Linked DNA regions of Nothobranchius furzeri. The main gene of each other region encodes a partner of the protein of the gene in region 2 in a complex. Links are inferred from orthologs where the notes say so. Each region holds a gene or a part of one and is shown on either strand. Other genes may lie near its edges. The genes, in order: tmem186 and ndufaf1.

The links.
Region 1: ndufaf1 (region 2) and tmem186 share a complex: the UniProt entries of both Homo sapiens proteins name them as parts of the mitochondrial complex. The link is inferred for Nothobranchius furzeri from reciprocal best matches to the Homo sapiens genes NDUFAF1 and TMEM186.

What each region holds. Positions count from the first base shown.
Region 1 is NC_091744.1:5,452,940-5,456,457, forward strand, and holds tmem186 (transmembrane protein 186), read right to left. Parts: upstream 2,140-3,518; 5' UTR 1,877-2,139; coding exon 1,874-1,876; intron 1,595-1,873; coding exon 929-1,594; 3' UTR 783-928; downstream 1-782. Other genes in the region: gde1 (glycerophosphodiester phosphodiesterase 1), read left to right, coding at 2,592-2,861, 3,518-3,518. UniProt on the Homo sapiens protein: As part of the MCIA complex, required for efficient assembly of the mitochondrial complex I.
Region 2 is NC_091758.1:19,029,147-19,033,524, reverse strand, and holds ndufaf1 (complex I intermediate-associated protein 30, mitochondrial), read right to left. Parts: upstream 2,742-4,378; 5' UTR 2,540-2,741; intron 2,133-2,539; 5' UTR 2,116-2,132; coding exon 1,606-2,115; intron 1,523-1,605; coding exon 1,337-1,522; intron 1,274-1,336; coding exon 1,199-1,273; intron 1,053-1,198; coding exon 912-1,052; 3' UTR 601-911; downstream 1-600. Other genes in the region: nusap1 (nucleolar and spindle-associated protein 1), read left to right, coding at 1-26, 98-203, 282-369; RNA polymerase-associated protein RTF1 homolog, read left to right, coding at 3,151-3,234. UniProt on the Homo sapiens protein: As part of the MCIA complex, involved in the assembly of the mitochondrial complex I.

The DNA.
Region 1 (3,518 bases), on a different chromosome or scaffold from region 2:
TCTTGCTGTTAGCTCTTATTCTCTTTTGGCTATTTTGTTTCTATGGGATCTACTGACTCTTGGTATAATCACTAAATGCTCCAAAGGCCTGCCAAAAGGTTTTAACAACATACAAGATGATATGAGAAACAGGAAATAATTGACCCTCGTGTTTGATAAAAGCTTATTACCAGTGCATTTTAAATCTGCAGCATAATTTTGCTTTATTTTTTTGACTGAGTTGCAATGGAAAAGTGTTTCTGATGAGTTTGGAGAAAATTTCCTATACAGGAAACTCAAATGCATGGATTTTATCTTGTAATTATTTGAATGTTTATTGGAAGAACTGATTAGATGTTTTTGTCTAAAGATGTATGTTACAAATAGCTGAAAATGTTTTAATTGAAAATGCCTCACTGCAGTGTCTCTGATATTTGTAATTTGTCAACTTAAATTTTTTATAACTTGTGTACGAGACCATAATCAGTCTGCTTCACAATATTAGTTTTTTTATCTGTAACATATAGAATTCTATTAAGAAACCCAAAAAATTATAGATTTTCCAAATAAAATTTATCAATAGTCACATTTCCATGCAGGATGATCAGGTTGGAAGAAAACTCAACTGCAGGATTCCTCTAAAACTCCAGGGGGGTTTTATGACCACATTCAGACCTCTAATGGACCAATAAGATCAACAGTAAAGGGAATAGATCCACTCTGCAGAGCCATCAGATATTAAACACATCAAAACATTTACCTGTCCGACTCACCTGGCCAGGTAAAGAGGCTAGAGTCAGACACTCATTAGTCACATTTATTTAAATCAAGAAATGAAAACATTGAAATTGAATCATTTATTTCAAAACAGGATATTTTTGTATATTTGTTGGATCTTATTACAATACTTGAAAGCAGTGATTTAGTTGATCACATTTTGAATGAAGAATTATTTTAGCCTCCCAAACACTCTCTCAAAGCCCTGCTTGTCAACAACGCGTCCGTAATAAGTAGAAAAATACATTGTCTCTGGACTACTGTATCTCTTCAGTTTCAGTATGGTCTCATTCTCCATGTCTCCTGTGTCCCAGATGGTCAAAACGTCTGACACGGGTAGGTAGGTGTCTTGACGCTTGCCCCAAAAAGTGAGGTGAGAAACTTTGAGTGTGGTCTGGGATGGATCCAGGTACATCATCCCCACAACCCTTCTAAAGAAGTGACTCATAGTATACAGCATGACACCAGCAAACAGTGCAATCCCCGTAGAGTAGCATACTAGAAAGAAGGACACGTCACCCTGGAAGTAAAGGAAATACATGGGTGGAATGATGACCGCAGTGATTGCAGTTTGGAGCAGTTTGAGCCTGGACACGACTCTGAGAAGCTTAATGTGTGGCAGCGTGTAAATCATAGAGAATTTCTGCGTGGATAGGTCTGAGTATCTGACGGAGGTTGTGATTTTAGGAGTGAGGGGTCCATGGGAGGTCTGATGGATGGGTGTATGACCTGAAAAATGAGACTGTAAACCATTAGACACTCGTCCAGAGAGTAAACATGATCCTCTTGTGCAGGACAGGGTGTGGTGGGTTAATCTGCTCAGCAACATCGACCTGATCTGTGGGGGAAAAAAAACATTAAATACGACATTCAGTCAGGCAATATGCAGTCACCTAATTGAGCCAAATATTAACAGCAGAATAAAGTCTCGATCTGTTTTACATTAAAACTGTTAACCCTTATTCAGAATGAGGTCAAATTAATCTCCTAGCTGAATCAAATCAAGCTCAAGGGCATTTCGCGGGTAGGATTGTTTGATCTATTTGATCCACCAATTCCTTTGAATTTGATAACACTGTAATAACAGTAATATTAATAGTCTCACTATGATGCTCACCATGGCCAACGACTGGTTAATTCACAGGTAAAGTCAAAAATAGTCCCAAGTCCACTTTTGGCATGAAGACGTCCAGCTTTGTGACCCGGATGTTACAACCGTGTGTTCCTAAAGATCTCGTTTACTCTCCTCACATTAGAAACATTAGTAAAGTATACATTTTAATTTAAAAAATGTATGAAATTGTTCACACTGAATAAGAGCTGCAAACGGCATGTAGCGAACCTATTTAGAACCACATCCGGGGATGCGCCGAGATGTGTTTCGGTCCGTCGAAAAATGTTTTCCCCACTTAATGAAATATATTTCAAGCCTCCGAGATATGTTCTCCAGCAAAGTGGGATTTACAGTTGTTTTAGTGTAGAAGAATAAATGTCATTGAATGTGTGATTCGTGAAATAACGAGTTAGTTTTATTGGTTTACTTTGACAAAGGTCGCGCCTGTTTTACGTAACATCCGGTCACAGCCGTTACGACGTGCCACCTGAAATGTTGTCCTCCCGTTTGGTCGTTCAGCGGCTCAACCGTCCTAGCAGTTTCTAGCTTTCTCCGGCTTAGATGTGGTTTAATGCTCCACTTAATAGCTGCTGTCAGAATATAACACGGAGCATGGATGTGTGTGAAACATCGCGTTTTTAACCAAGAAAAATAGCTTAACAGGAAAGAAAATGTCAAACTGAAGAAAATCTGCGCTCGTGAACCCAAGAAGTCGTCTACAATGCTTCAGCTGGGAGATGAAGTCACCCTCTACTCACTTGTCCTCGTGGTGGTCCTGCTGGGGACGCGGAGTCCGGTGTGGTCGGCTGTCCTCACCGCTTCCCTCTACTTCTTTCTAGCCATGTTTCGGTTCCCGCAGGTGACGACCAGCCGAGCCCGGCAGGTGTTGCATCCAGACTCCCGTGCAGTGGGCAGCGGTAAGGTGTCTGTGATCGCTCACCGGGGCGGAGGACACGACGCACCGGAGAACACAATAGCAGCCATACGGGAGGTGAGAAGGGACACTGGGGAGGGAAGACGTTAAACCGTTAACCTTCACACGACCTAGAGCGGCTGTTTCTTCTAATGGCGAGATTTAGTTAGTCATTGATTAAAAATGTAATACCTCCACTTTAATACACATTTGTGTAACACCCGCAGATCAGCCCCCAAGATGTTACATGAAGTGAGTCTGACCAACCAGCATTAATGTGGGCAATGAAGCACAGAATCGGATCGCTTCAAAAATAGATAATTTATTAAAGATTGCAAAAGCTAAAAGTCCAAATAAAAGCTCGGTCTGTGCAGGTTGTGCCTACAAAACAGGGCAGGGAGACCAGTTCAAATCCAGGGGGAAGTTGAATTGTCTTCACCAAACCAACATGTATGAAGGTAGTGACGATGACTTGAGCTTCCCCCAATCGGCCCAGTGCTGCACCCACACAATTTACACACACTCACACACACACACACAGTGTGATACAGCTCTCCCAGGTTACATTTGCACTATCTAACCATTTAAGGAGATTGAAATCTAAACGTGCTTATTTTCAAATGAACTAAACCAAAGTGTGTACGACACACGTCAAAATGTTTATAATGTGATATTTTAATGCATCTACTTTTTTGGCTCACGGTGACTTGGTTCTCCAATGCTTTTACCTGCAGG
Region 2 (4,378 bases):
TCCGCTCAACTACAAACCCCACAAAGGTGCGGAACTGTCCTCAAAGACCGTAAGTTGTGTTGTTCTGAGACACTGATGCTTCCTTCCTTTTTTGCAGGCAAACTGAAGCCATTTGGAGATGCTAAAGAAAATGCATCTGCAAACAAATCTCTGATCTCCAATTCGCGTCAGGAAAGTTACAAACAACACAAGGTGCAGTCCAGGTGAGCCTGAGAGAAATTCTCATCACAACAATCTGCCTGTAAAGCGCCTCCTGAGGCTGATCCGTGTCGTGTTTACAGGGACGACCGGAGGGCAATACTAGCAGAGGACCGGAAGCAGAAGAAAACAAAACTGCTCGGAGCGAGGAGAGGCCTGGTCATGGAATAGAAACGCTTTTGCATTTTTCTCAAGCTTCCTGTTCTCATGTAAATAATTTAGACATCCGTGCTCTCCTGAGCCAGTTGTAAGAACATGGATTCAGTCTGCTTTACTCAGCTTGTAGATTTGTTTGTTTATAATAATCATTTTTATCCTTTTGTAGTAAAAACTTTTACTTATTGTTTTCCATTTTGAGATGAATATTTGGATTAAAATGGTGACCTAAAAGATTTGTTGTGCTTTAATAAAATGTCTCTTGAATGCTTTTATTATTGCTTTTACAATAAAACAACAAAAAACTCTCACATGGAAATCACTTTGCTGTTTTACTGAGAGAAGTCATTTAAACTAAACGGGAAAATTAAGAAGCAGCAAGAGTGTCTGTTTAACTTGTAAAAGATCAACAGCAACAACCGTTTGATCCCCTTAACCGATTTGTGTTTTAAAATTGACCAGAAATGCAAAAAAAAAAAAAAGTGAAGACGAGGAATTTCCACACATCTGTATTTAATTGGCTGCTTAACGGTTTAAACGCTGCGTTGTGGTGGCCCCTAAGCTGTTGGGTTCCTCTTGTACATCTCGTAAGCGAAGTCCTCTGTGTGAGCGTAATCTTTGCAGACGCCAATAAAATCAATCTCAAGCTGAAAAGGGCCGTCTGCTTTGTCTCCCAGGGTGAACCCGATGGTATTAATCTGAAAATATAAGCCAAAGTCTAAATAAATCTCAGAAAGACAATTATATTCAATATGCCAGCTGCAGGTCATGGTACATGAAGTACAGTTCTCGTGTGTGTCCGTTATTTTCTTGTCTTTGGTATTTTGTTGTGATTTTATGATACCTTGTCCAGCCACAGAGGATGCTGTTGGTCGTGTATCCTCCCTCGATGTGTGATGAAGAACTTGGAGAAGGGTATCTGCCAAAAATAAAAAGTGTTAGTGAGTTAATCAGTCTAGGGCTTAAAAGTGCATCAGCTCACCTTTACATCTTGCCAGTAAGGTCCTCCTCTGGTGAACAGGAAGTAGGTGTAAAGGTCGTCTTTTTGATGAGAGAAATAATTTTCAGTTGCGATATTAATCATCCACGGGCGGCCGTCACCACGGATCCGCAGGTGCAGGGTGTTAAAACTGGACCAGTCAAAGTGCTTTTTTCTGTCAAAGGATGCCTAGAAGAGACAAAAAGTTTAGAGTGAATTTAAAAGTCCAGAGGTATTCATCAATGGCAGAAAAATCTACGGCGAGCGCTGACCAGAGGCTGCTTTGAGCGCATGGTGCAGTATCCGCTGTAGCGCGTTTCTCCATCTTTCGGAGGAGCAGAATTGAGGGTCCCATACAGAAAACACGTGTCGTTCCTTCCAAGCTTTAGGTAAACTTCACTTTGACCTCCAATCTCTTTATCGCAAGAAACCGTCCACCCCGCCAGGCTCTCGGGGCCTCTGAATTCCCATACCACCCGGTTTTGCTCCTTCATGTGCTCCAGGATTGGTTTGCCCTCTGGACCAATCAAAGGGTCAGTGAGCTCTTGTTTCAGCAGTTTGAAGTGCTTCTTTATACCCTCCACACCCTTCCAAAAGTCAAAGTCGATCTTCTGCCACGGGAGCCTGTCATCTCTCGTTTTGCCAGGCCGCCGATATCCACTCTGGCTCAAAGTTCTTCTGGGAACAGATGGAGGAGCGATGGAGCAAAGGAGCAGATGTGGGTTATGGATAGAGCTCAGCAACCTCAACGGCGGGAGATGGGAAACTTTTGGGAGAGACATCTTCAACCTGGTGACTACTGGGATGGATCACACAGGAAATGGTTCCATTAATATTGAGTTATACAGGTGACAATAGAATATGACTAGCAAGATGTAAATACAGCAATCTTAGTGTTTTAATGAGCTCTTTCAAAGAAAATGTGTTTTATGTGGCAGAACATAAGTTACATTTGCATAAGATTATCTGATATAATCACGTGTATGTATTTTTTAAATTACATATTTACCCTGCTTATATCTGAATTTATTCCAAAGCATAGCTTGAAAATAATGGACATTTCTGTTTAACTTTCAAATAAAATGTTTACATTTGTTTCTAACAGTTGTTATAATTGCAATCTAAATTTTAGAAAAATACATAAATTTTGCTCCAGATGTTCCTGACAGAATTTTTTTGTACAGCAAATAATTCGTTCATACTTACGTTTGTCAACGTTGTTTTTCGCCGGGTACGTAAGAGGGTCGTAAACTTTATACAGTTTAATATTATCGCCTTAAAACAATAATACAACACTGTTATGAAACTCTGACGACCTGAAATCTGCTCTTTTCCTCGTATTCACAGATCCAAGGTTGTTTGTGGTCCAAGCATGAAGCTGAGCGGAAACTCCTGAGCTGCGTTCAACCTACAGTCAACCATTATGGTTAAAAAGGTGCAAAAATTCGAGGCGGACCGGGACAGCTGCTGTAGTCTTCTTGAACGCAGCTTTGGTCTGGTGCACCACCAATTTGTATCCTGACAAAAGCACTCGGCGCAGACTTATGGTTCCTATCTAGCTGAATCTTTTTGTTTCATTGCTGGATTACTTCAGTAATTTAAGCTGTATGGACAAGAAGTGAATATAATTAAAGATAAACTATCGCATGATTGTTTTAGGTGTATTTAGAGAATCTATTTCATGTTGTGACGCCAGTGCGCGCATGCTCGGTATTGTCTTTGTATGGCGAGAACCAAGCAGCTAAGTAGCATCGGCAGCTAATCCCAACCATTAAACGACACAGGGGTAGCTAGTAGGGTTAGCTCTGCGGCTAATCATGGTGAACGTCAAGAAGCGGAAAGGTCGAGTCGTGATTGATTCCGACTCTGAAGACAGCGCCAGTGATGATAACTTGGATGAGGTAGAGTGGCATTTTTCAAATTTATTATTTACTAGTGACTCTTTAAGTTGTCAGTAGTTTTATGGTGTAGCTAGCGGATGCTAATTGGTTGCGCTGTGTTTGGCCTCGCTGAAAGACTGAAAGTGGCCCAGTATTATTTTCCTTTAAAAGTAAACACCTTATTAACATGCTACGTCTTCCCCCAGGGTGTTTCTGCATTGCATTCAGCTAAGCGGGGCCTTCTATAGAATGTTTCCGCTGCTAGGTTGCTTTACGAGATGTGCCTAATGCTAGCAATCATGCAATGTTATGTTATGAAAATACCGCGCCATGGGCCTCCTAATGGTTTCCAGTCACTAGCTGCAGGGCTTTGATGGTGCTATGTTGGGGTATGTTTTGCTCAGTGACAGACTTTACCATGGTGAGACTTGTTAGCGCAGACAATGCGGTTCTAGAGCCGCATTTGATTTCAGCTCGAACCGTATGTGAACGACGTCATGACCTCGGAGCTGAAGTTCTATTTTGGTGTTGTTGATAAACAAGTGCTGGAGGTAAAACATGTCGCTTTGAGACAAGCTCCTGGAACAACCCGGCTTGTCCTGAGCAGAAGCAGAGATAACAGAACCGGAGCGCGTTAGGTCACATAAACCGGGTTAGTGTAGAAGCCGTGACTATAAACAAGTCTGGAAGTTTACTGGGGAACTTTTTAAATGACTGATAAAAAGGTATTTTTAACCGCAGATGAAACCTGATTGATGTAAAGAGCAATTAGAGTTGTTTATGTAATTGTTTTCTGCTGATTTTTAACTAAATCATCAATATATTATTAGTCGTTGAGTGCTTTTCATTTCTATATGGTAGTACAAATAAAATGCAAGTGTTATAATTGTGCCATCTCTTCATATCGAGTTGCTGTATATTTGATTGGCCTAGTTTTATTCCCCAATGTGCATGTAGTTGTGATCAATTACCATGAATAAAAAGCAGAATTTGACTATGCCACAGACAGATAAACGGTGTATTAATCAGAATCAGAAGTTTTTATTGCCATATGTGTGCCAAGTCACAACATTAGGAAATCACATTTTAATCTAGATGTTCAGGTTTGAAGCAGCTTTTCCACAATCTTAATTTAGAACGGAAGGAGACGATGTTTTAAAGTGGC